Sus scrofa: one gene and its partners. The main gene of each other region encodes a partner of the protein of the gene in region 6 in a complex. Links are inferred from orthologs where the notes say so. Each region holds a gene or a part of one and is shown on either strand. Other genes may lie near its edges. The genes, in order: LIN52, LIN54, E2F5, E2F4, LIN9, TFDP1 and RBL2.

The links.
Region 1: TFDP1 (region 6) and LIN52 share a complex: the UniProt entries of both Homo sapiens proteins name them as parts of the DREAM complex. The link is inferred for Sus scrofa from reciprocal best matches to the Homo sapiens genes TFDP1 and LIN52.
Region 2: TFDP1 (region 6) and LIN54 share a complex: the UniProt entries of both Homo sapiens proteins name them as parts of the DREAM complex. The link is inferred for Sus scrofa from reciprocal best matches to the Homo sapiens genes TFDP1 and LIN54.
Region 3: the proteins of TFDP1 (region 6) and E2F5 are in contact, whole or in part, in a crystal structure (PDB 5TUV), measured with the Homo sapiens proteins. The link is inferred for Sus scrofa from reciprocal best matches to the Homo sapiens genes TFDP1 and E2F5. Residues at the interface, in NP_009042.1 of Homo sapiens: Glu201, Cys202, Leu205, Glu208, Arg209, Arg212, Leu213, Arg215, Ile216, Lys219, Gln220, Leu223, Leu226, Ile227, Gln230, Phe233, Leu236, Val237, Arg239, Asn240, Arg241, Arg249, Pro253, Ser255, Val256, Ile257, His258, Leu259, Pro260, Phe261; in NP_001942.2 of Homo sapiens: Val126, Arg129, Leu130, Lys134, Glu136, Ile137, Leu140, Glu141, Glu144, Leu147, Asp148, Gln150, Lys151, Leu154, Gln155, Ser157, Ile158, Val161, Met162, Ile166, Asn167, Asn168, Arg169, Phe170, Ser171, Tyr172, Val173, Thr174, His175, Asp177.
Region 4: TFDP1 (region 6) and E2F4 share a complex: the UniProt entries of both Homo sapiens proteins name them as parts of the DREAM complex. The link is inferred for Sus scrofa from reciprocal best matches to the Homo sapiens genes TFDP1 and E2F4.
Region 5: TFDP1 (region 6) and LIN9 share a complex: the UniProt entries of both Homo sapiens proteins name them as parts of the DREAM complex. The link is inferred for Sus scrofa from reciprocal best matches to the Homo sapiens genes TFDP1 and LIN9.
Region 7: TFDP1 (region 6) and RBL2 share a complex: the UniProt entries of both Homo sapiens proteins name them as parts of the DREAM complex. The link is inferred for Sus scrofa from reciprocal best matches to the Homo sapiens genes TFDP1 and RBL2.

Annotation. Positions count from the first base shown.
Region 1 is NC_010449.5:97,392,020-97,395,519, forward strand, and holds part of LIN52 (protein lin-52 homolog), read left to right. Parts: intron 1-791; coding exon 792-858; intron 859-3,108; coding exon 3,109-3,192; intron 3,193-3,500.
Region 2 is NC_010450.4:135,394,384-135,397,883, forward strand, and holds part of LIN54 (protein lin-54 homolog), read left to right. Parts: exon of another isoform or gene 1-1,599; coding exon 1,600-1,801; 3' UTR 1,802-3,500. UniProt on the Homo sapiens protein: Component of the DREAM complex, a multiprotein complex that can both act as a transcription activator or repressor depending on the context. In G0 phase, the complex binds to more than 800 promoters and is required for repression of E2F target genes.
Region 3 is NC_010446.5:51,509,818-51,513,859, reverse strand, and holds the start of E2F5 (transcription factor E2F5), read left to right. Parts: upstream 1-1,242; 5' UTR 1,243-1,340; coding exon 1,341-1,568; intron 1,569-4,042.
Region 4 is NC_010448.4:27,837,356-27,839,637, forward strand, and holds part of E2F4 (transcription factor E2F4), read left to right. Parts: intron 1-197; coding exon 198-398; intron 399-2,282. UniProt on the Homo sapiens protein: Transcription activator that binds DNA cooperatively with DP proteins through the E2 recognition site, 5'-TTTC[CG]CGC-3' found in the promoter region of a number of genes whose products are involved in cell cycle regulation or in DNA replication.
Region 5 is NC_010452.4:14,181,228-14,185,373, reverse strand, and holds the start of LIN9 (protein lin-9 homolog), read left to right. Parts: upstream 1-1,346; 5' UTR 1,347-1,432; coding exon 1,433-1,511; intron 1,512-4,146. UniProt on the Homo sapiens protein: Acts as a tumor suppressor. Inhibits DNA synthesis. Its ability to inhibit oncogenic transformation is mediated through its association with RB1. Plays a role in the expression of genes required for the G1/S transition.
Region 6 is NC_010453.5:78,754,130-78,758,321, reverse strand, and holds the start of TFDP1 (transcription factor Dp-1), read right to left. Parts: upstream 2,801-4,192; 5' UTR 2,665-2,800; intron 1,878-2,664; 5' UTR 1,815-1,877; coding exon of another isoform or gene 1,803-1,814; 5' UTR 1-1,802. UniProt on the Homo sapiens protein: Can stimulate E2F-dependent transcription.
Region 7 is NC_010448.4:31,785,018-31,788,517, reverse strand, and holds part of RBL2 (retinoblastoma-like protein 2), read left to right. Parts: intron 1-1,832; coding exon 1,833-1,993; intron 1,994-2,085; coding exon 2,086-2,150; intron 2,151-2,758; coding exon 2,759-2,945; intron 2,946-3,500. UniProt on the Homo sapiens protein: Key regulator of entry into cell division. Directly involved in heterochromatin formation by maintaining overall chromatin structure and, in particular, that of constitutive heterochromatin by stabilizing histone methylation.

The DNA of each region.
Region 1 (3,500 bases), on a different chromosome or scaffold from region 6:
TGCCATTTCTTGGGCCGCTCCCATGGCATATAGGGGTTCCCAGGCTAGGGGTCCAATCAGAGCTGTAGCCGCCGGCCTCCGCCAGAGCCACGGCAACGAGGGATCCGAGCTGCGTCTGTGACCTATAGCACAGCTCAGGGCAACGCTGGATCCTTAACCCACTGAGCAAGGCCAGGGATGGAACCTGCAACCTCATGGTTCCTAGTCGGATTTGTTAACCACTGAGCCACGACGGGAACTCCTCAAATAATTTCTTTCATGGCTCTACTTACCTATTTTTCGTACACTAGTAACAGTATTCAGACCTAAATCTTTCAAGATCATTACTTTAAAACCAGCTTTTAAAGATCAGTAGTATTATTTTGTAAGGGTTCTATTTGTAGGTCAGAGCTGAATCTGGAGAAATCTGGTTCTTTGAAATTATAACTTGCTGGTATTTTCAAACAACCTGAGGACTGTGTGACAACCTCCTTTTCTTACAAGAAAGAAGAGTAGAGAGTTTCCGTCGTGGTGCAGTGGAAATGAATCCGACTATTATCCGTGAAAATGCAGGTTCAATCCCTGGCCTTGCTCATTGGATTAAGGATCCGGTGTTGCCACGAGCTGTGATGTAGGTTGGATCCTGTGTTGCTCTGGTGTAGGCTGGCAGCTGTAGCTCTGATCTGACCCCTAGCCTGGGACTTCCACATACCAGGGTACGGCCCTAAAAAGCAAAAAAAAAAAAAAGAAGGAAAAGTAGGATCTCTATACATTGCACATGTCTGAATAGATGTATTCTTATTTTCTGACAGCCCATTACTAGCTCCCCACCCAAATGGATGGCTGAAATAGAACGCGATGACATTGACATGTTGAAAGGTAAGCAAAGCTGGTGACCTCTAACCTTCAACCTGACTTTTATGCTCCTGTGCAAACCACCTTTCCAGTTTTTCTTTCACGATTCCCTTACAAGTATTTTTGGCTTCAAATTGCCTATTTAACCATCCTTATTCATGGTTCTTCATATCTAAATGCCTTTCTCTACTTTTCCATGTGTAGAAATAATTCAAGACCCAACCATACTGATTTTTTCTGCTGCTAAATTCCTTTAATGTTAATTTTATTTTGTATAATACTTAGCGTTGGAGTTCCCATCTTGGCTCAGTGGAAACAAATCCAACTAGGAACCATGAAGTTGTGGGTTCGATCCCCAGCCTCGCTCAGTGTGTTAAGGATCTGGCATTGCTGTGAGCTGTGGTGTAGATCACAGATTCATATCGGATCCTGCGTTGCTGTGGCAGAGGCCTGCAGCTGCAGCTCCGATTCAACCCTAGCCTGGGAACCTCCATATGCCTCGAGTGTGGCCCTAAAAAGAAAAAAAAAAAGAAAAAATTAACGTTAACTATAAGCTCTCACATAAAATTTCTTATTTAATTCTCATAAAGACCCTGTGAGTTAGATATGATGTCTAAGGTTCAGAAGTTAACCAAGCTTTATTATAGAAAGAGTTAAAATTTAAACTCTGAACTTTTTTTTTTTTTGGTCTCTTTGTGTTTTCCAGGGCCGCACCAGCAGCATATGGAAGTTCCCAGGCTAGGGGTCTAATCAGAGCTGTAGCCGCCGGCCTCCGCCAGAGCCACAGCAGTGCCAGATCTGAGCCGCGTCTGCAGCCTATACCACAGCTTACGGCAACGCCGGATCCTTAACGCTCTGAGTGAGGCCAGGGTAGAACCTGCAACCTCATGGTTCCTAGTCGGATTCGTTAACCACTGAACCACGATGGGAACTCCTAAACTCGGATCTTTTAAAGCTAGTCTCTTACTGTTATAATGCAAGTGCCTTATTTAGGATTTGCTGTCATATATTGTTATGAGTACTATTAATTGACAACCCCTTAGTGGGTTAAGACCTGTCTTTTAGTTCTTTCTATCTCATCAATTTCTCCCATAGAGAATACTGTAAGTAGTGAATATCATTGTTTGATAAATGGCTTGGGACTAAATCACAAAGTAGAAATTTAAATTAAAAAACATTAATTTTCCTTGATTTTGCTCTACTTTACTTAATTTTTTTTATCATCCTCGTAGTGATAAGATTCATGATGGTTGTGAAGTAATAGAATGAAATTGAGGTAAAAAATCTGGGGTTCTTAAGCTATTTAAGCAGCTGAACAGATTCACAAAGTCTACTTATGCCAGATATAGATAATAAGTATGGCATGATGAGTGAGAGAAAATAACACCTTTATTTGACTTCAGAAATAATTCATTGTTCTGCATGAAATGCTTAAAAGCAGAGCCCTTCCTCCATCTGGAAAAATTAAGTCTCAAGGGCATCTTGGGTTCATTGTTCTAATGTTCCAAACAGACATTTATATAATATTCCATCAACATGTATTTTCTAAGGAAGCTTTAAAGTTTGATAAGGGATCAGAGCATTCTGTTTCATGCAAGTTCATGTATGTCCTAAACTTAAAAGGAATTAAGTTCTGTTTAAATGAAAATCTGGGAAGATAAAATTTTAAGTTTACTGTCTTTTTATCTGGTAAAATTAAAAATTTTTTTATGGGAATTTGATTTGAAGGTAAAATTTGGATTAATATTTAGCCTGTTTTCTAAACCTGGAGAAATAGGAAAGAATAAGTGTTTTATTGTCACTTGGAGTAATGTGGACTTATAAATGACAGCTGAGATAGTGTCCTTTTTGTGAGACAGAGATCTGTCTGTTTGCTGTCTCAATGCTATGTCAGATCACAAGTTTTCAAATTTTAACCATATATTCATTTTGTATGATACGCAAAATGAATGTTACAAAAAGATCCTCAGGATAAAACATGTAATTTGTTGTTGTGTTTACGTTAATTCTCTTCTCATTAAGTGGGTAAGCTTATCTGAGGCATTTTGCAGTGGTGGAAAAATTCACTGATTTGATTTGTGCGTTTTTGTGTGTGTGCACGTCTGTGCTGGGGGTAGTGGTGATGTGATTTGTTGAGAAGAGATATGGATCCATTTTCTACTTATTTCATAGGAATTAAGCTTGAAATTTTTATAACAAGGATTTGCAACCCGCATGCGTTGTTACTAGAAGCAGTGGAAAGAAATGGTATTGAAATAAATGATTCTGTTTCAGAACTGGGGAGCCTCACCACAGCTAATTTGATGGAGAAGGTACGAGGCCTTCAGAACCTAGCCTATCAGTTGGGGCTGGATGAGTGTGAGTACCCAGATCCATTTATTCAGGGTTGCATGTTGTATATTTAATGATGAGCTCTGGTGTAATTCAGAAAGTAACTTTAGTATCTTTATTAGATGTTCTCAAGGTAAGAAGCCACTATAATCTAAAGTGTGCCTTTTATAGTAGAGTGTCAAAGTAATTACAGAGTTTACTAGATTACAAGTTATTGTTCTTTGTATAGTGAAAGCATATTGGTAACTCTTAGTTTTAAGCGATAGAATGTCAAATCAAACAATCTTAAGCAAAAGAAGGATTTTATTCACATAAATCAAAATTCTAGGGGTAGA
Region 2 (3,500 bases), on a different chromosome or scaffold from region 6:
GGTGTAGGTCAAAGACGCGGCTCCGATCTGGCGTTGCTGTGACTGTGGTGTAGGCCGGTGGCTATAGCTCCTATTTGACCCCTAGCCTGGGCACCTCCATATGCCGCAAGAGCGGCCCTAGAAAAGACAAAAAGACAAAAATAAATAAATAAACAAAAAAGAACCCTTATAACTGGCATATCCTCCGCACAAGTCTCTTGACTGAGTGAAGTGGAGATGGCCTGACACTGCAGTGAGGGGTGAGAAGGGTCCCTGCTGGTCGTCTGCTCGCAGCGAGCCTCGGATTAGCTCGTCTCATCTCCATGTGGAGAAGAAAGTGCTGCACTGAGAAGTTTCACCTGTGGAACGCGGCTATGATGTTACCAAGTGTGAAAGGACACAAAGTCATACACTGTAGTCAAAAGAGGTTTTTAGAAACTGTATAAAAAGCTCTATCAGCATGTTAACAAGCTTTTGTCTTTGAGCAGCAAGAATTTTGAATTCTTTCCTTCTGCTTTCCTCTAGTTTTCGAAATACTATATAATGAATGAGCACTATAGTATTGTAGTGTCACTAGCTTTTTCTAATTCAAAGTGCTTTTGTACCTTAAAGATTTCTATCCAAGTGCGCAGCAGCCCAAGTCCTGCCCCGCCCTCTGTCAGAGTGGGCCGCGATTGCAGACCCATCGAGCCTGCGCCGCACTTTCCTGCTGCCGGTGGCTGCTCACAGGTGGTTGCGTTGGCAGTTAGACTGGTCGCCTGTTCGGCCCCTGTGGGCTTTGAGACTTGGCAGCACAGAGCGAGGCCTCGGGATGGGTTTGCTCTGCTTTAATTCGCAGTGGTTCAGGTCTTTATGGATGACTTGCCAAGTATTGAACAGCATCCGGTGTCCCCATTTTGTCTTGTCCTCGTGGAATAATGCCAGATTTTGGTGTGTGTCTTGTTTTTTCCAAACACTGTATGGGACTGGGGGAGGTGCTGTCCAGGAGATGGCGCTTTCAGTTCCCAGTGTTACTCATTCATTCAGCACATGTTCATGGAATGTGTGTCGGAGAAACAACCGTACATGAAACAGAACTGTGCTCAGTGAGCTCATGATGGTCATGAGGTGGGAGGACTTTCGCCGCAGAAAAACTGTCCAGTTAATGTGGAGAATTAGAATTACATCTTGCAGTTAACCAGGTAACCTCGTCTAGGTAATATGTATTTTGTGTAAAATGTTATATTTTAAAAATATGTTCAGGAGTTCCCTTCGCGGCTCAGTGGAAACGAATCTGACTGGCATCCATGAGGACTCAGGTTCGATCCCTGGCCTTGCTCAGTGGGCCAAGGATCTGGTGTTGCTGTGGCTGTGGTGTAGGCCAGTGGCTACAGCTCCGATTCAACCCCTGGCCCTAAAAAGACTAAAAAATACGTGTGTGTGTGTGTTCAGTAATAAGACCAAGTCTGACTTCTAAAAGGCTCTCTGGGGTGTGCTGTGTTCATCACACAAACACGATGCTCGCTGTGCTTGCCGAGCAGGGACCTGTGGGCCGAGTTCCAGGTGGAAGACGGCCGCCCCTTTGGCTGCTCTTCACAGCCTCCTCACCGCTGTCCCCCTCTCTCCCCCAAATCACTGCAGATTGCCGTTTACATTTGTAACCAAGGAGGTGGCGGAAGCCACGTGTAACTGCCTTCTGGCCCAGGCAGAGCAGGCGGACAAGAAGGGAGAATCAAAGGCAGCAGCCGAACGGATGATACTCGAGGAGTTCGGACGATGTCTGATGAGCGTCATCAACTCTGCAGGAAAAGCAAAACGGGACCCTTGCGCCATGAATTGCTAACTCCTGCACAAAGGACTGACTGATGGAGGGACTGTGCAGAGCACTGGAGGTGCAGGGACACGGGATTTTCTGGAAGCTAGTCCAACAATGACTGTATTGGCAATTCAGTCCTTGTGAGACCTGAAATTATAATATTGAAAGAGAAGAAATTTTTTTAAATGAGGAAATTAGTACATTTTAAGTCTAAGTTAAATCTGCTTATTTCCCTTCTAAATTGAGTTTCTCTTTATTGTATTATATAGATTTTTAATTGGCTTGGAATTCTTAAGAACTAGATGTTCTGTCCTTCTGCTTCTATTGACAAATAACATTTATAAATTACTATAATTTATAATGTATGGTGTTGTATGACTTTGTTCCAGGAGAAAAGGCCAAAGAAGCCTTGGTATTTAGCCAGTCATTCTTTGGTGCTAGATCTACAATATAAGCAGATAGACTATCTCCACTGACAAATTCTCATGACCTTTTGTGTTTAGAAAAGCACTATCTTTTTAGGAAAAATCAACTTTTTAGGGTGGATTCTGGAATAATACCCTGTTGTCACTTTAGGAATGGTCCGATGGGGAAGTAATCCATGGCACACTTTTAAAATAAAAAAGTTATGTTTGTTTTAAAAAAAAAACATACAGTGTTAAGGGACAGTAAATAATTCTCAAAGGCAGACAGTTTGTTTCTATATAAGGAGTGACGAAGAAATGCTTGGGATATTTCCATTTTCTTTCAAGGAGGCGGTATGTATTCAGAATAATAAATTGTCAGTGGTTACGGGGTACTATTAAAATGAGCCTTGCATATGAATAGAAGTAAACCTATTATGTAGTGATAACAGAACCTTACCTATTTATCGGGTAAAGATTTGGCTTGGATGGAGAAATCAATACTGAAGGTCTAAGAGATGAATTTAGAGGATTTTTCATCTATAGAAACAGCTCTCTTTACAGACTTTTGAACTAAGAGGGTTCAAACCAACGTTATGACTCTTACTTGATTTACTGAAATGGGCCTCCTAACTAACAAAGCTCTCAGAATTGTAGTGGGATTTCTTTTTTACGGGAAGCTTAACACGGCGTTATTTTTAGCCAGTGATTTGGTGAGCTAATGGTATGAGTTTCTCATATAATTACTAAGATAACCGAAATCATTTTCAGCAGTTCAGAATTCAGAAGCTTTATGAATTTAAGAGCCTGTTATAATAGGACTCTGGATTTTATGATGGGAAAAAACCATGTTGGAATTCAGGCATTTTGTTAGGTACCTTGATCCCCAGTAATTATTAGTATATGATTATTACATTTCCTACAAGGAATCTATAGTTGTATGTATTAAGTGTGTATATATGTTCATACGAACATGCAAGATATAGGCAGCAGAAACGAAGCGATCCAAAAGGACCTTCCTTTGAAGCCTGGGTTTATAAAATGACAGTGCAGTAACTTTAAATGTAGATAGTGCAGACATTCTTAGCACCTCAATCTAGTACACTTAATTAAACTTTGTATAAATGTAAATTAGTGTAAGAGGATAAAATAATATCTAATCAAGTTATTTTTCAAAAGATTACAATACCTTTTTGGTCTAAACCTAAACTTTGTTCATTTTGTACATACTCTGTGTTTAATTCTAATTGCACCTTTGTGATGTGTATTTATATACAGTGTGCATAAAATGTTTGTGAAATTTGGATTACAATTGTAGATTA
Region 3 (4,042 bases), on a different chromosome or scaffold from region 6:
ACAGTCCAAGCTTGGATCCAGTGTTGCTGTGTCATAGGCTGGCAGCTGCAGCTCCAATTAGACCCCTAGCTTGGGAACTTCCATATGCCCCTGGTGAAGAGGAGAAAAAAAAAAAAAAAGTCTATCTGGTTATTCATAAAGTTCTGTCCTATGAATTGGAAACAAATATTAAACTTAAATGGTGTGTCCAATTTTACTCTCTAATGTTACTGTTTTACTTCATTCCAGTGACCCTTTTTTGCTAGTTTACTGTTATTTTAAATTAGAAATATGTCTTGCATGAGACTTTCTTGATGAATTATCATCATATGGAATTTTCATTCCCCTAATATTTATTGGGCATCTACTATATTAAAAGTGTTGCGTGTGATACCAATTTATTTAGAATTTCTCCCAACCCTCAAGAGTGTGTAATCGAATGAGAAAAAAACTTTTACTCAGATCTGCGTTATCTCATTTCTCATTTTGATAGTTTGGGCTATCAAAAAACATAAAAATCTTACGACTGCCTAATATTCTAAATAATACTACATAGCTTGGTTGCAATACGGTATTAAGAACAATTTTAAATGAAGGAAATCTGGAGTCCAGTGGCGAGTCTTTGGGCGAGTCACAGCCTCTCCCTCTACACCTCAGTACCTCTACCTATACTGCTCCATTATTCTGCTTTTCCCATATCCCGAATCTAAAAAGATGATCGGAATAAAACCTTGCACTTGATCAGAGGCATTGAAATACTTGCAAAGGATTCTAAAGTTGGAAAGGACCAAGACAGCAGAAATCCCCAATGAAGGTATTCAGCGGACGGCTAGTCCCGTGAGGTTGTAGAGATCCAGCAGGTCAGAAATCGATGGCCACCAAGCAGAGTGTTTTCGTTTCATTTTTTTCCTCCAAGCGTTGTAGCGGGAGGTCGCTGGTCCTGGGGGTGGCACTCCAACAGCAGAGAGGCGAGCTGAAACCCACTCCTCGACGCTCCCTTCTGCTCTCCCCTCCTTCCTACAGAAAAATGCGTTTCCAAGCAACGGCGGGCCGCGGCGTCACTTCCTGCCATTTAAACTCAGGTCCCCACCCCTCGCCGCCCCTTCTCCTCGCTTCCACTCCCCCTCCCCTCAGTCGTGGGCTTCCTTCTTGGGTCCAGGGCTCGGGGAGGGGGCGGAGGCCCGGCAAGCCGAGCGGCCCAGAGGCCGGTGGGCCCCGCGCACCTGTTGTTTGCAAGCGCCCGCAACCCTTCGTCCCGCCCTCGGCCGGCGGCGGCTGCAGGGGCGGCGATAGAGGTGGCCCGGAGCAGACCCGGCAGGTGGCCGAGCGCGAGGTCCGCACCACTGCGGTGCGGGGACGCGATGGCGGCGGCCGAGCCCGCAAGCTCTGGGCAGCCGGCACCGGAGGGCCAAGGGCAGGGCCAGCGGCCGCAGCCGCCGCCGTCCCAGGCGCAGCCCCCACCCCCGCAGCAGCCACTCGGGGGCGGCGGGGGCGGCAGCAGCAGGCACGAGAAGAGCCTGGGGCTGCTTACCACCAAGTTCGTGTCGCTGCTGCAGGAGGCCAAGGACGGCGTCCTGGATCTCAAAGCGGTGAGCGTAGGAGGCGGGGAGGGGGCGGACTTCAGATCCTGCGGCCGGGGGAGAAGCCCATCCCCTTGCCGCGTGGGTCGGGGGACGTGGTGTGAACGCTCCGCGCGGGGATCTCACGACCTGAGCGCAGTGGCCACGTGGCCTGCGCCCAGGCCCTGGACTTCGGGATGGGGGGGAGGGACGAGGGACCAGGATGGCCCGGACCAGCCGCTTAACCAATGGGGCCCGGCGCCGCGCCGGGCTCTCGACAAAGAGCCCAGGAGCTCCAGCGCGCGCGCGTGGCTTCTGTCTCGGGGCGCGGAGACCCGAGGACGACTGAGTGCCCTTGCTGCTCCGCGTCCACCTGTGGCAGAGGCACAGAGGGTATCTGGGCGCTTTGCCCAGGACACCGTCGGGATTGATTTTTTCCTGTTGGGCATTGTTGGTTTTAATAGGCGATTCTAGCTTAGACCGTGATCAAGTTGTTTAAACAAGCCAGCAAATAAGCAAACAAAACCCAGTTTTGCCACCTCTCCTGGATGAAACAAAATAAAGTGAACTCTTCATAGCCCTCCCTGTTAAAATAATGGTAGTAATTAAAAGAAAAAACTTCTTCCTTGTATATTTCTTTTTATCATTTTGGTGACTAAGAGGGGTATTTGATTTGTGACTTAGAAGGATCTGATATAGATTTCTAAAAATGAGATTTGCCGTCACACGGAAAGGGGATGTTTTATAACTTTGATGCAAGGAGAAGCGCTCAGCAAACTCCTATTTCATGAGATCTTTTACTGCAGTTGAGTTCGGAATTTTCAAACCACAACATACATCAAAAGCCGTTCCGTTAAATAAAATGACCTAACCGTTCCAGTCAGGGTTTGGAAGGATTCCATAGCGCTGAGAAACAAGAGATGTGATCCCTTGAATTAAAATTCAACCAGCGCACCATGTTTAAGTAAAAACTAAAGCTTTAAAAACAAACAAAAATTACTAATGAATCAGTAATTACTGTAGACGCCTCCTAGGCACTACCCCTAAATCTGGGGTTAACACTGAGAATTGGTCCCAGCACCTATGGAAGTGCCAGGACCACCGTACCTAGCTTGAGAGGATGACTGCAATCCTCAAGGCTATGCTTAGGGTAACAGAAGCACCGTCTGAGTAGGACAGCATCTTCTAGTACTCCTTGACCTGAGACTAAGACTCACAGAGGCCAATTTGATGTCCTTTGCTAGAGGTTCTCATCTGAGGACAGTCTGGGAGGTGAGGTATGTCTTTGAATGTCCTCTCCTTTCCCTGGGTGTAGTAAGTGTTGCGTAAATGACTCCTGAATTACCGAAATTGTTCTACTTCATACAAATAAGGCACGATGCACATATTTTGCATTTGGGGAAAAGTTTCTACTATTTTTTTTGAAGTATTACTCCTGAAATTTTCCTGCACTTTTAGAAATACTTGTTTTCTTTTTTTCCCCACTCCCTCTCCTTCCCTCTCTCCCTTAAAGTGCTTTATGACATGTATGTATTTAAATTGTGAACTAAAATGGATTTTTGTTTAAAGAATTTCATAGGAAGTCATGAGGTCATCTTTGAAAGACAGGGATGTTTCCAAACCTACCTTGCAAACTACTATTTGAAAATCTAGGGAGTTCCCATCGTAGATCAGGGGTTAGGAGATCCGACTAGTTTCCATGAGGTCAAGGGTTGGATCCCTGGCCTTGCTCAGTGGATTAATTAGGTTAAGGATCCAGTGTTGATGTGAGCTGTGGTGTAGGTGGCAGATGCAGCTTGGATCCCATGTTGCTGTGGCTCTGGGGTAGGCCGGTGGCTGCAGTTCCTATTTGTACCCCTAACCTGGGAACCTCCATATGCTGCAGATGCATAAAAGATAAAAAGACCAAAAAAAAAAAAAAAAAAGGCTAAAATTCAGGGAGTTCCCTTGTGGTTCAGTGGGTTCAAGATCTGGTGTTGTTGCTGCTGAGGCTTGGGTCACTGCTGTAGCGTGGGTTTGACCCCTGCCCCGGGAACTTCTACATGCTATGGGTGCAACCAAAAAAAAAAAAAAAAAAAGCCTGTGACTCCAATAAAGAATCAGGGAAGTTTGGGGTTTTCCAGATGCAACTGAATTCTGAGGGGCTGACTTTTGAGAGCTTTTCTCACAGCTTGCCTTGGAATATGATGGAAATTTGTCCTTGCTTTCCCCTAAATCTTTGGCTTCCTCCTGTTTCATCTGTGGCCAGATTTTGCTGTCCAGAAGTTTACAGAGGCAGTGAGTGGGAAGTAAAGTTTAATATTTCCTGATAACATTGTTTCATTCATCCTGGAATTTTCCTAAAAGTTCAGAGGTTTCTGCAGTAATATTAGGTCTCATTGTATTAATGATTTTTTTACTTCAGTCCAGTAAATGAGACCAGTTTTTCATTCTTTTTCACATATATACAAATATATATTTCATTTATTTACATATGTTTGTACATAATAAAATCTTATATTGCA
Region 4 (2,282 bases), on a different chromosome or scaffold from region 6:
TTCCTGCAGGACTCACGCCTCTGTCTTCTTCAGTGAGATTTTTGATGTTACTTTCCTGGGAGTGGTTGGCAGTGCCTAATTCTCCTTGGGCCCAGGAACCAGGGCTATAGTCATCTTGGCTGTGGGTTCTAGAACAGCCAGCTTCGATATCCTGCTTCCTGTTCCCAAGTGACTGGGTTTGGGGTGTGTGGTTGCAGTGAGTGGTGGCCCTGGAACTGATAGCAAGGACAGTGGTGAGCTGGGCTCCCTCCCACTGGGCCCGACAGCGCTGGATACCCGGCCGCTGCAGTCCTCTGCCCTGTTGGACAGCAGCAGCAGCAGCAGCAGCAGCAATAGCAGTTCATCCGGACCCAACCCTTCTACCTCCTTTGAGCCCATCAAGGCAGACCCCACAGGCGGTGAGTACTTGTCCCCTTGGGAGCAGGGAGAACCCAGCCTCAGACAGTCCTAGGTCAGAAACAGAACTGGGCCTGGAACGCAGCTCTCCTAACTCCTCAGCCAAAGCTGGCTGGCCCCACAGCCAACCCCCTGCCATCCACCAGAACTCTGCCAGCCAGAGCGCCCCTCTGCCCGCTTCCTGGGCTGACCCAGAACGCCCTGGCCCTCCCCAAGCCCTGTCTACCACCTCCAGGACTCAGGACAGCGTGAGCACTCTCCTGGGGAAAGGGCTGCAATGTGGCCTCAGGCCCCACAGGTGGGCAGTGTCTTCTTCAGAATGGGAATGCCATCTGCCTGGTGTCTCCTTTCCATCTTGTGACTTGAGTGCTTTTTCCAGGACTCATTCCCCTTAGGCCCACAAGCACCACTAAGTCTCCCTCATTAAATGACACAGTGTCTGTCCCCTGTGTCCCCCTCTCTTATCTTCCCTGTATCCTCTCTGTCTGGACTTCCTGAAAAAGTTATCTCCACTCTGTCCCATATCCAGGTCCCCCAGTCAGCTGGAGGATGCAGCAGTCAGGACCCCCACCCCCCCTGCCACGCCAGTGCTGCTAGTCCTGATGGCCAGTGCTGGCGGGTTTTGGGGCTGATTTGCTCTGGTGCTCTCTTGCTCTGTCTTGATGTGCCTTTTCGCCTTTGCCATTTATGATGTCAGCTCTTGGTTCTTGGCTCCTAACTGGCTTCTTCTTGTAACTTCTCTCTGGCATTCCTTTAAATCTGGCTTCTCAGAGTCCATCCCTCTGGAAGGCCCCAGTTCTGAGTAGATGGATTCCCAGCATCTGTGTATAGGTTTCTTGCCTAAAAACTTTACTTCCTGTGTCCACGTGCCTTCCTGTGCACAGCCGACAGGCACCTCACTCCCATGTGTGCTCAGCCGAAACTCGCTTTTCTTTTCCTTTTTTTTTTAATACTGATTTTTATTTTTTCCATTATAGCTGATTGGGAGTGTTCTCTCAGTTTTCTACTGTGCAGCAAGGTGACCCAGTCACTCTTAGATGTATACATTCTTTTTTCTCACATTGTCATGCTCCATCATAAGTGACCAGACATAGTTCCCAGTGCCATACAGCAGGATCTCATTGCTTATCCGTTCCAAAGGCAATAGTTTGCATCTGTTAACCCCAAATTCCCAGTCCATTCCACTCCCTCCCCCTCCCCCTTGGCAACCACAAGTCTGTTCTCCAAGTCCGTGAATTTCTTTTCTGTGGAAAAATTTCATTTGTACTGCTCATTAGATTCCAGATATATGATATCGTATGGTATTTGTCTTTCTGACTTACTTCACTTAGTATGCATCTCTAGTTCCATCCATGTTGCTGCAAATGGTATTATTTTGTTCTTTTTGATGGCTGAGTAGTATTCCATTGTGTATAAGTACCATGTCTTCTTAATCCAATCATCTGTCGATGGACATTTGGGTTGTTTCCATGTCTTGGCTGATGTGAATAGAGCTGCAATGAACCGAAACTTGCTTTTCCACCTCTGTGCGTACTCGACCATTGGCTCTAGCCACCCAGGCCTGACACTTGGGTGTCACCTCAACTCTGTCTCCTCCTCTGTCCTTCTCTTTCCCCCCATCCCACATCAGCTAATGAGTTTTCTCCCAGACACCCCCATTGATGGCCTCCTGTATCCTCAGCATTCAGGATCACTGCAGCCACCGCTCTCCTAAGTCCCTCAGCATCATTTTTACTCCAACAAGGATCTGTCACAAACAGCTTGACTGCGGTGTTTCTTTGTTACAAAAGTACCTTTAACAGCTTCCTAAGGTCTGGTGGATAAAACCAGAGCCCTTAAACTGGCATGTGAAATCCAGCTCCAGCGCTTCTTTCCCGTTTCCCATG
Region 5 (4,146 bases), on a different chromosome or scaffold from region 6:
CAGAATTCCAACCAGGCCTTAGGGTTCAAGTCCACCCTCTGAACGTCTGGGACAGACAGCTCCCCTTTGCCTGCCTGCTCCAACAAGCTTCCTCCTGACTAGTTTCCAGGACTCTCATCCTATCACACTCCAATCCATTTCCCATACTTTGGTTCTACAACACAGATGGAAAAATGCCAGCTCTATACTTGAAAACCCGACCTCTCCACTGCTCCAGGGCTCTTAGCAAGTCTAGCTCCTTGGCCTGGGCTGGCCTGTCTTGCTGTCATCTCAGACGACCAGCTTTTAACTTTTTAGTTTCTGGAATTTACCCCTGCTGTATTCTCATTGCTTAACTATCCCATCCCTCCCACCCCAGCCCTGGAGAGAAAGGACTGGAGCTTAATAACATTTGTTAGATGCACTGTTGAAAAGCAAGAGAGGTTGATTATTGGACACTATTATAGACAGGAATTGTGAAATCTTTCCCTGGGCTTCTTTGAAAACTGATTGAATTCTTTCAGGGTTCTCAAAACATGTCGATCAGGGTACTTCATCATCTTCAAGTGTCACTGCTGGGTTCTGTCTGTATCTTCATCAAGTCTCCTGCTTCTGGTTCTGTAATCCTCTCCCAGCTCACTGCAGCGTCTACTGTGAACGGATGAAAGAGCTCAGCAAAACAGTTTTCTGGCCGCCGAGCTCAAAGACTAACTTTATGACCTTTCAAGGTCTCCCCTCCAAGCTCCATGCACAACTCGGGTGCCGACGTTCCGGAGGGGTATCCCGGCTCGCGAGGGGCACCCGGAGCAGAGTCCCGGGCGGGCAAGCTGTGGGGCAGCCGCGGCCTGAGCCCTCCTCCCCGGCCCTCCTCCCCAGCTCTCCGGAGAAGGGAGGGATGGAGATGCCGGAGAAACGTGGGCTCGGGGAGCCGTGAAAATTTTACTTCGAGTACAGCCGCCTCCGGTAATGCGGCCAAGAACCGGGGGCTTCTCCCCGCGCCGGGCCCACAGGTGCAGCCTCCCGCCCCCCCCGCCCCCCTCAGCCGGCCGAGGCCTGCCTCCCCTCTTCCCTCCCTTTCCCCACTCGGAACAAACAGCCTGCAGTTCCCGCAGCTGCAGCTCGAGACGCGAAACGCGCGCCGGGAGCGGGGCCGGGCGGGACTCGGCAGCTCGCACCGCTCCTCCCGCTCCCCCCGCGCTCCGGCGCCGGGCCCAGGCTGGGGCGGCGCGAGACGGGCCTGGCGGTGCGGCCTCCCTCCCTTTATTGCCGGCCCGGCCGGGGGCGGGGGCGGAGGGGCGAGGCGCGGCCCTCCTCCGTGGCACCCCTTCCCCGGGCGGGCCCGGGCAGAGCCCCGCCCGCCTCAGCCCGCCGCGGCGGGAGTAGCGCGGCGCCGCGCCGCGGGCGGCGAGCTCCGCATTCGAACCTCCCTCGCAAAGACAGTCTCCGCCCCACAATGCACCGCGGCGGGCAGCCTTTGAAAAAGCGGCGCGGCTCGTTCAAGATGGCGGAGCTCGACCAGTTGCCTGACGAGAGTGAGTAGCACCTCAAAGCACCCCCCCTCCTCCCGCCGGCCGCCTGCCCCTGGGCTGCATCGGCCCGGACAGGCGGCCCTACCCTCCGCGGGGCAGGTGGGCTGACTGCCAGCCCCGCCGTGGTCCCCGAGTCCTCCCACCCCGGTGTTGCCGCCGCGTCGCCGCCTTTGTTATGGTGTCTTGAGTGTTGGTTTCTGGGGTTGTGTGAGCGCCAGGGCCGGAAACCGAAAGCCCGGGGGCCCAGCCCTTGTCGGGCGGAGGCGGTGGCTGCTCCCCTGGCCCGACGCGGGGCCCCTGGCCGCGGTGGGGGAAGAGCGGCCACCGGCCGCGGGGGCTGTTCTCGCCGCCTGCAGCGCTCGCCCGGCGCGGAGGGACGCCTGGCGGGGTTATGTAACCCGCCCGTCCGGGGGCCGGGCCGGGCTCCGGCTGGGGAGGGGGTGGTCACGGCCCTTCGTCTTGCCCTGGCCTCGGATCTTGTCCTGTCACAGTTCCTGCCGCTGCAGGCACTTGTGATCATCACCGCCTTCGCCTTCCCTCCTCCGGTGTGTCCACCCCTGGAAGTGTTTCCGTGTCAAAGGGCTGGCCCCTTCCCCTGGGACCACAGGTGGCTGTGGATCTTTCCAGAGGTAATCCAGCCTGGGTACACACGTGTTCAGGTGGCCCCCATCCCAATGACTTTCTTCTGTGCGTTTGTGTCTTAAGAATCATGGGGGTACCTTGATGCATGGATGTGACCATCCCAGCAGGCATATACAGCCCTCTCCCTGACACCCCTTGTGCATTGCCTCACTTAACCATGTTTATTCATCCTGCCATCTCAGACATGGATGTTCCCGTGTGTTTAGGAAGTAAAAGCACTAATCCGGTAGTGTAAGTGCAATAGAACTTAATTTGTAATTTACAATATCGTATAAACTATATCAAAAGGCAAATCGTTTAATTAATGACAAAAGGGTTCCTGAGCCACACTTGCTATTCAGTTTATGTATACACATCTTTTGTGAGAGTTTTAGTATAATAAAAACAAAAAGGTCGATCCCTGTTAAATCTCTCTGTGCAAGACACTTTAAAAATGAGAACTGCGTACAGCCAATTCTGTTTATTCCTTGCTGAGGTCATTATATTCTTAATGTGTTATAAAGTTGCAAGTTCAAGTTGCCAAACTGGTGAAAAGTTGTATTAAGAGAGTTCGTGTTTTAAATTTGCTCTAGGCCAGTGCTGAATTCCAATAGAACTTTCTCAGTGATGGAAATGTTCTATTTTGCCACATCCGGTAGAATAGCCACTAGCCACATGCGGCTGTGGAACTCTTCACTCGTGGCTAGAGTGACTAAGGAACTGCATTTTATTTATTTATTTATTTATTTTTGCTATTTCTTGGGCTGCTCCCGCGGCATATGGAGATTCCCAGGCTAGGGGTCCAATCGGAGCTGTAGCCACCGGCCTACACCAGAGCCACAGCAACGCGGGATCCGAGCCGCGTCTGCAACCTACACCACAGCTCACGGCAACGCCGGATCGTTAACCCACTGAGCAAGGGCAGGGACTGAACCCGCACCCTCATGGTTCCTAGTCGGATTCGTTAACTACTGCGCCACGACGGGAACTCCAGGAACTGCATTTTAAATTTCATTTGATTTTTGTTCATTTAAGTTTAAATAGTCAGGTGTGGCTCGTGGCTACTGTATTGGACGAGACACAACTACAGACTGTCAATGAATTTTACTGTTTCTTGAAGAATGCAATTGATTGTGATTCAGGATGCTCCTAAATAAAGGTGGGCCTACTAAAGACAGTGTGGTTGTTAGCTGGAAATCCTTGCTCTCTTTGTCATAGAGATATTTTATCACCTCTTGGAAGTCCCAGTCCCCCTGGGACTTCCAAGAGGTGATAAAATATCTTTTATCATTTAGAATATTTGCTCATTATCAGTAAACTGATTTAGAATATTTGCTGTCATTTAGAATATTTGCTCATTATCAGTAAACATTGATCGAGGACTTGCTATGGTTCTTTGTAGTCACTTGGGACTCATATTAGGGTTCAAATTCCAGCTACATTCTGAAACTGTATGTCATAATCGTTTATATTTGTGACATCTCTGGTGCACTGGGGCGTGTGTGGGCGTGCACCTTAGCTTGGATATTTGTCTTGTTTAGCTTGGCCACGCCTTTTGAAAGCAGGGATTGCTTTACCTGGTTTGTCAGAGTGCCACAGGTCAGGTATATATAAATAATTTATATGGAATTGAATGTAGAGTTAGAAGCATAGTTAAGGAAACTGGAGCAGTCTTGAAAAGGGAAAGTGATTTCAGTTTGATGCTACCAGTAGCAGTATATTTCTTTGCCAATTTTAGTCAAGAGGGGTAGCTTATAAATTATCCAGTAACCATTATAACATTATCAATAATAAAGGCTAGCATTTATTTATCACTGTGAACCAGATGCTGTGTAAAGCATGTCTAATGCATTTATTTATTTAATCCTCATTCCAGTTGAGGTAAGTACTCTTACTAATGAGGTAACCAACACGGTCTTCAGCCCCTATCTTTCCTCTGGGCTTCTGGGCTTAATACCTCTTGCCTATTTCACATCTCCTCGTAGGTGCCTCAGAAGCCCTTCAGACTTTATGGGTT
Region 6 (4,192 bases):
TCAATCGCCACCCTCCCCGGGCCTCTGCAGGCTGGCTGCCCCCATCAGTCCCCGAGTTTGTCCGCCTCCACTGGGACCCCCCGCCTCCCCCGAACCTAACGCCAGCCTCCCTGGGCCCAATGGCCCAGCTGGGGTCCCAGCCCACCCGCTTCAGCCAGAGGCTGTGCGAGGTGCTTGCAGGCTTTGACCTTACCCCCAAGGGCAGAGTGAGCCTCCTATGCCTGCCCCCTACCCCCCGACAATGGTCAGCTTCCCAGATTCCAATGTCACACCTGACCTAAGACCCAGCGCAGGGGGAGACGGGGCTGAGCCTGAGCGGCCCGCAGCCTCTGTCCCGCCAAGCACAGCCCTGGAGAGACCCGGTTCCAGCACACCTGCCGACCCCAACCCAGGACAGGCAAAGCCACTGCTTCTTACCTGGCTGTTCTCACCGCGACACCAACCTCCACTGTGTCACGTACCCAAGCTCAACGGGTGGTCCCCATCACCCCCACCCAGCCACCAGGTGGCCCACAGCGACCCAGCCTTCGCTGGGCTGACCTCCAGGAGTGACCTTCGGAGGAGGCCGCTCAGGAGTCTCCTGGAACCAGGCACGGGCCTGGACTGTCTTCCCATCCCCCGGATGCCCAGGGGGAGGGAGAGGACGCCTCCTCCAGGGGGTTCAGACAGGACGAGAGGCAAACTCAGCTCCCCACCTCCACCCACGATGGGAGGCATGGGGGCAGCTGCACCCCTGCTGAGCACCAGCTCCCGTCCTGCGTCTTCCGGGCGACAGTGGCAGAGAACTGGGCCTGGCCACTGACGATTAGAAGGTAACACCACCTGCACATCACACACAGACTCTGGTTTTAAGCTCAAACCCACCACACTAGCCCCGTGTTCACCCGCTCTGCCAAACTAACTGGCGCGGGGGCCCACAGCCTAAGGCCCAGCGGGTGGGGTGCCTTCCGACAGGCGCCCTGCAGAAGGTTCAAACCCGCGAGGTGACGGAGGCATCATGCCCGTTTCCTGGCGCCACCAACAGGGACGTGCTTTACCCTCCGGCTGTGTCTCAGGCAGATGCACGTCCTCAGAGCTGCATTTCCACCTCCACGCAACACACGAGTAAATAAATAAACTGCCTCTTTTCATTAATGTTTACGGAACAGCACGTCCTGAGACACGCTAAAGGAGGAGCCGGGGTTTCAGTGAATTTCACGGATGTCACCCAGGATCGAAAGAGCTGCCCAAATGATAAAAGCCGAAATCTTGGGGCCGAAAAGCCTACTTCTTAAAACAAGAGAAAAAAACTAACTCATCAAATTCTATAGCTCCCCGACAAATATAAAGCTAAAGTAGAATTTTTGCACCCCACTTCACTAGGCACCAAGTGCCACTTTTTCTGAGAAAAAAGGCTGCCAAACCCAGTGCTTAGCCTGTTACGGCTCAAAGCTGAAGTAACATCCTACACGGTACCTGCAGAGGATGCTCAGCGCCATTCCACCGAGTCCAGCGCCTGCCCAGGGTCCCCCACCAAGGCACTCAGATTTCCAAGTTAACCAGTCAGAAGAGACCCACAGATCGGGTCAGTCAAGCCCCATCGGGCATTGGCCCCCCTGGGGGCTCAGGCCTGCAAAGTACCCTCCATAAAGGCCACCGGGGCTCCTCTGGGTTCCTCACCTTTAGCGTGTTTCATGTGCTTTAAGAGTCTGAACATAAACGCTCCTGAATGTTGTGTGCTGTCATTCTGAAACAAAATCGGGAAACTACCAAGAATGTATCAGTAGGCAAACATGCGTCCAGCAGGAAGCAAACATACTTACATCTTTTGCCATGTTACCAGATCCGTGAAATCGATGCTATAGTTGTTCACCCTCCAGAGAAGAAAAATGACTTTTCTGGTAAAAAGAAGAAAGGAAAAGCAAGGAGTGAATAAGGATGAAATAAGAAGTTCACAAACCTCAGCGTTTCCCCCCAGCACCACCACCATCCCCACCGCGGCTCAGGGGAGCGGCGCCTTCCTCTCCATGCCCACACTCCACCCTCGGAGCGGGGCCGCAGAAACAGCCCCCACGCTGGGGATTTTAAAGTCATCTCAGGAATGGAAGCTCGTCCGCCACCAGAATGCCCGCCGGCCTCCCCAGACGCGCACAAAGAGCCAGCAGCGAGGCCGAGCCCGCACTGGCGGCCCGCGTTCCCACCCGGCGCAGCCCCAGTCTCTGCGCACACGCGCTCCCCACGGGCGCCCCGGCCCACCCGCGACCACCAGCCGACCCGTAACTCTGACAGGTGGGCTTCCGGGGTCCCGGCCTCCAGCCTGTCACTAGGCCGCGGCGGCCTCCCGCGAGCGCCCCCCACGCCCCGGAACCGGCAGTCGGCGGGCAGGTGGGGTCGGCGCCGCCGGGCCCCCGCACCCCGCACCCCGGACCCCGTGCGCTCGGACTCGGCCCGCCCCAACCCCCGCCGGGCGCAGACGCCGATGCGCGCGCTGCTCCGCCCGGAGGCCCCTGCAGGCCCCGACGGGGACCCTGGCCCGCGACCCCGCCGGGCCGGTCACCTGGGCGCCCACGCGGCGGCCCTGGCGCGCGGGGACCGGTCGGCGCACGCGGCGCGCGGGGGCGGGGGTCGGTCGGGGTCCGCAGGCGCCCGGCGCGTGCGCCCCTCCGGGACCCCGGCCCGCCGCACCTGGCGGGCGGGAGGTCGGCGCGCGGACAGCGGCGCGCACACGCGGGCGGGCGCGGAAGAGCGGGCGGTCCCGGCGGCGCTCGGCCGGGGTCCCTGCCCTGCCGAGGCGCCGGGGCGCGGGGCTCACCCTGCGAGCGTCGGGCGGCGTGACGTGCGCGGCGCGGTGACGTGGGCGGCGGCCCGGCTCCCGCAGCGCGCCTGCGCGCCTTTTCGCGCCTTCGGCTCCCTCCTCCTCCTCCTCCTCCTCCTCCTCCTCCTCCTCCTCCCGCTCCGCGGCCCGCGCTCGCGCTCCGGGGGGCTGGGCTGCGCCTGCGCGCGTCCGCATGTGCGCGCGTGTGTGTGCGCGCGCCGAGCAAAGATGGAGAGGAGGTCCCAGCCCCCGGGGCGCGGTGTTGCGCACGCGGGGGAGCTGGGCCGGGGATATGCGCACGTGTGCGCACGCGGCGGACAGGGACTAGGGGTGCACGTGCGTATATAAGCACCTGGGGAGGGGGACAGAAGCTGAGGAGGTGTGCACCTGTGCATGTACACGGGTGTGTGTGCATCCGGGGAATGGGGGGTAGGAGTGTGTATACACGTGTGGGCACATGAGGAACAGGGGCAAAGTGTGCAGGTGAGTGTGTATGCACAGAGGTCTGGAGCCAGTGTGCAAGTGTGTGTATGTGCGCGCGCGTACCCAGGGGCTAGAGATGCATTCATGGGTGTGCACACGGAGAATGGGTTGAGTGTGTGCGTATGCACGTACAGAAGTGCGCACATGGGGGGGCGAGTGTGTGCACAGTGTGTATACGTATTCGAGAATAAGAGAGGTTGGGTGCCCATGGGCGTGTAGGGGCGGGTGCATGTGTAGGTGCGCAAGGAGAGGAGGCCAGGCGTGTGCGTGTGTAGTTGCACCGAGGCGAGGGCCGTGTGCACCCACAGCGCAGAGAGCCCTGTCCACCTGCTGCTCCTGTTCTGAGCTGCCAGCGGCCTCCGTGCCCACGCCCAGCCTCCAGCCAGCCTCAGAGCATTCTCAGTGCAGGAGAGTTGGCTCCTCATCACTGGGTGGGCTGGACCTAGTGGACGCTGAGCCTCGGAGACTCGTCCCCTCTGGGCGCCCCCGCAAGCACCAAGGCCCCAGAGGGCATGGGCTCTGGTTCCAGAGACGCTGCGGAGGTCGGGAGGGGCCTGGGAGTCAAGTCCGAAGTTCATGAGCACAGAGCAAAGGCCTCTCATCTTGCAGGTTTCCACCCGGCCGCGGACGGTTTCCCAATTTAACCGCTTTTATGCTGATCACGCCCACTCTGCTTCTCCAGTAAAGCCCCTCCCGGCCTAAGACTGTTCACACCTTAGCGCTGGTTTCTTGAAGGGAGCAGAGATATTCGCGTTCTTTCTCTTCAGTACGCGGCACTCAGAGAAACCGGGATCCAGGAGGAAGAGGGTAAATAAGAGGCTTCAGAGGACGGACCTACCTGCCCTGCCCGCAGGCGCAACACCTTGCTTCCCGGTGGTACAGTGTGCACAGCGTCCCACTGGGCAGCAGGGTCCC
Region 7 (3,500 bases), on a different chromosome or scaffold from region 6:
GACATTAAAGCTGATGGTGTTTTTCTGTATTTGGCAAGCTTGGTGCCTGACACACACGGCGAGGTCAAAACAGATTTATTGAAAGAATCTCCATTTCAAATCTTTTCTACAGAATATGAGTAGTTATGGTTCTGAAATGAGTAAAATGAATTTTCAACTCTAAAAGATATGTGGAAATGATAATTATTTTGGCATTGCATTTAATAGGCCTTAAGGTATGTAATTTCTGTGAATGACATACTCTGAGACCAGATTATGATTTACGAAGCTAATATTAAAAAGTATTGATTGAGTTAGAATATAATGCTGCTATTTGAATAATATCTTGGTAGGGTTCTGAGTGATTGTCAGTTTTGGAGTGGTTACAATTAGAATTTCAGCTTGTCTGGCTCTCAAGGTAGATGTTTAATATTAGTGGAATTAGTTACTGGTTTTGTAAATTTTTTTTTTTTTTTGGCTGTACCCATGGTGTGTGAAAGTTCCCATGCCATAGTAGTGACAACACCAGATTCTTTTTTTTTTTTTTTTAATAATTATTTTTATTTTCCCACTGTACAGCAAGGGGGTCAGGTTATCCTTACATGTATACATTACAATTACATTTTTTCCCCCACCCTTTCTTCTGTTGCATCATGAGTATCTAGACAAAGTTCTCAATGCTATTCAGCAGGATCTCCTTGTAAATCTATTCTAAATGTGTCTGATAAGCCCAAGCTCCCGATCCCTCCCACTCCCTCCCCCTCCCATCAGGCAGCCACAAGTCTCTTCTCCAAGTCCATGATTTTCTTTTCTGAGGAGATGTTCATTTGTGCTGGATATTAGATTCCAGTTATAAGTGATATCATATGGTATTTGTCTTTGTCTTTCTGGCTCATTTCACTCAGTATGAGATCTCCAGTTCCATCCATGTTGCTGCAAATGGCATTATGTCATTCTTTTTTATGTCTGAGTAGTATTCCATTGACAACACCAGATTCTTAACCCACTGAGCCACGAAGGAACTCCCTGGTTTGGTAAATTTAGTGTTCTCCATATTCTGTCCTTTTATTTTCTTCCTAACTCCCTTTCATATTTCTGTATGGCTGCTTCCTTTCATCTTTTTCCCCTCTTCTTTTATTTATTATTTATTTTATCCTCTTGCTTTGAGTCTAGGGCAGGGATGGCTATAAATTAGTAAACACATCTAATATGGAATTAATATAATTAAATCTAAGTATAAAAAAGTACTTTGAATAGTAATTTTTTTCAAAGTTTTTTATTGGAATGTAAGGCTTATTTGCAAAATTTTGTGTTTTTTAGATCTTAGGGCAATATACTAAATTCTTTTTTAACTGTTACCAGGTAGATAATTAAATAATTGGAATCTTCTAAGTAGTGATATGTTTTGCCTCTGTTATTTTTGGTGTATATACCAAATATATATATGTATTTTTTTCTCTTTCCATGGCGGTACCTGTGGAGTATGGAAGTTCTTAGGCTAGGGGTGGAATCAGAGCTGCAGCTGAGGCTTATGCCACAGCCCCAGCAACACTGGTCCAAGCCGCACCTGCAGCCTACGCCATAACGTGAGGCAACATTGGATCCTTAAATCACTGAGCAAGGCTAGAGATCATACCGTCATCCTCAGAGAGACAGTGTTGGGTTCTTAGCCTGCTGAGCCACAGTGGGAACTCCTTGACGTTTATTTAAATAGAGTCAAATTAGGTCCTTATATACTATTTGTTATATACTCATATGCTAACTCACATGTTGATTAGACTCTATTATTTATATTTTAGTTTATTACAGTTTGGTTTATTCAGTGCTATCTCTGTTCTGTGATTGCATCATAGGCCTATCCGAAGACTTTCATGCTAAGGATTTTAAACCTTCCTCCGACCCACCTTGTGTTATTGAGAAACTCTGTTCCTTTCATGATGGCCTTGTTTTGGAAGCAAAGGGAATAAAGGAACATTTCTGGAAACCCTATATTAGGAAACTTTATGAAAAAAAGGTTTGTAAGTAGTAAAAACATAATTTGAAAATATCTTCTTGGCAAAGATTTTATTTAACATGATGTCTTATGGATCTTTTCTTTCGTCGTAGCTCCTTAAGGGAAAAGAAGAAAATCTTACTGGTTTTTTAGAACCTGGGAATTTTGGAGAGAGTTTGTGAGTACTTCTGTTATAAAAATATTTTAATATTTTAAATTATGTACTTAGGAGACCTCAGAGTTTCATGTTTTTATTGTTTGTATGCTGGAAATGTAGACTATTTTGTGGGGGAATATAGGGATGCTGTAAAAACTCCTGTCAACTTTACTCTAAGCACATATTTTTTTAACATATAGAAAATTTTATGGATGTTCTCTAAAGCTTTAATAGTTAAGCTTTTGGATTATAATTTTTGAAATAAAGACTTCTTTTGGAACTACATGAGTAAAGAATGATGATGTAGTTCAAAGGTGCCTGGAGCAGCTAGGAAAGATAATTAAGCTTCTTACCAGAAGCTGTACCTACAGGGCGGCTTGGTACAGGGTACCCACCCTCAAAAACTGTCACCAAAATATACTTACTGTGCAATGGATACACATAGTGGAGCAGGCTTGCATGTTATACTCCTCAGGTTTGATAATTAATAGTGATTCCACTAAAATTTAACTTTCACAAAATTATTAGAATTTTTAGTAAATAAAAAAAATGAAACAATTAAGTAGCCTAAAACAACTGGAAATGGCAGTTCTTTGAGTGTACATTTTGCCTATTTTTTTTTCCTATAGTAAAGCCATCAATAAAGCCTATGAGGAGTATGTTTTATCTGTTGGAAATTTAGATGAACGGATTTTTCTTGGAGAGGATGCTGAAGAGGAAATTGGGACTCTCTCAAGGTGTCTGAACAGTGGTTCAGGAACAGAGACTGCTGAAAGGGTACAGATGAAAAACATCTTGCAGCAGCATTTTGACAAAGTAAGTTGAGCCATCCCAGAGAGTAGAAATACAGAAGCAGATATGTCAGAGAGTCTGTCTCTGTGTTTACTGTTTTAATTTTTGTTGACATCAACTTTCAAAATTTTTGATTAGGTCTGTGATAAGGATTTAATATAAATGTAAACAAATGTATCATGCTGATAATTGTTGGTTTTCAAAAGATGGGCCAGTAATATACAGCCTTTACATACTAAATATAGTAGATTTTTAGAAAATGTTGATTGATCTGGATTGGTACCTTCATCTAAGAGACTAGAGAAACTGAGAATCTGTAGTCTTTAAGGAAATTCTGTTAAACTGAGTTTCAGGATCATGTGTTAGTTACTTCATGCAGGTGCTTAAATGATGGAGACTGTTTCCCTTCTATTGTGTGGTGTTCACAGAAAAATAAGCAACTTCTGACAGGCCTTCCAGAGGTATTGTGGCTAATTCCAGGGCAAAGCTCACATATAAGACCAGACTTAAGACTGGTTTGCTTATTCATTCAGCAAATATTCTCAAGGTATTCTATGAGCCAGATTGTGTCCTGGACAC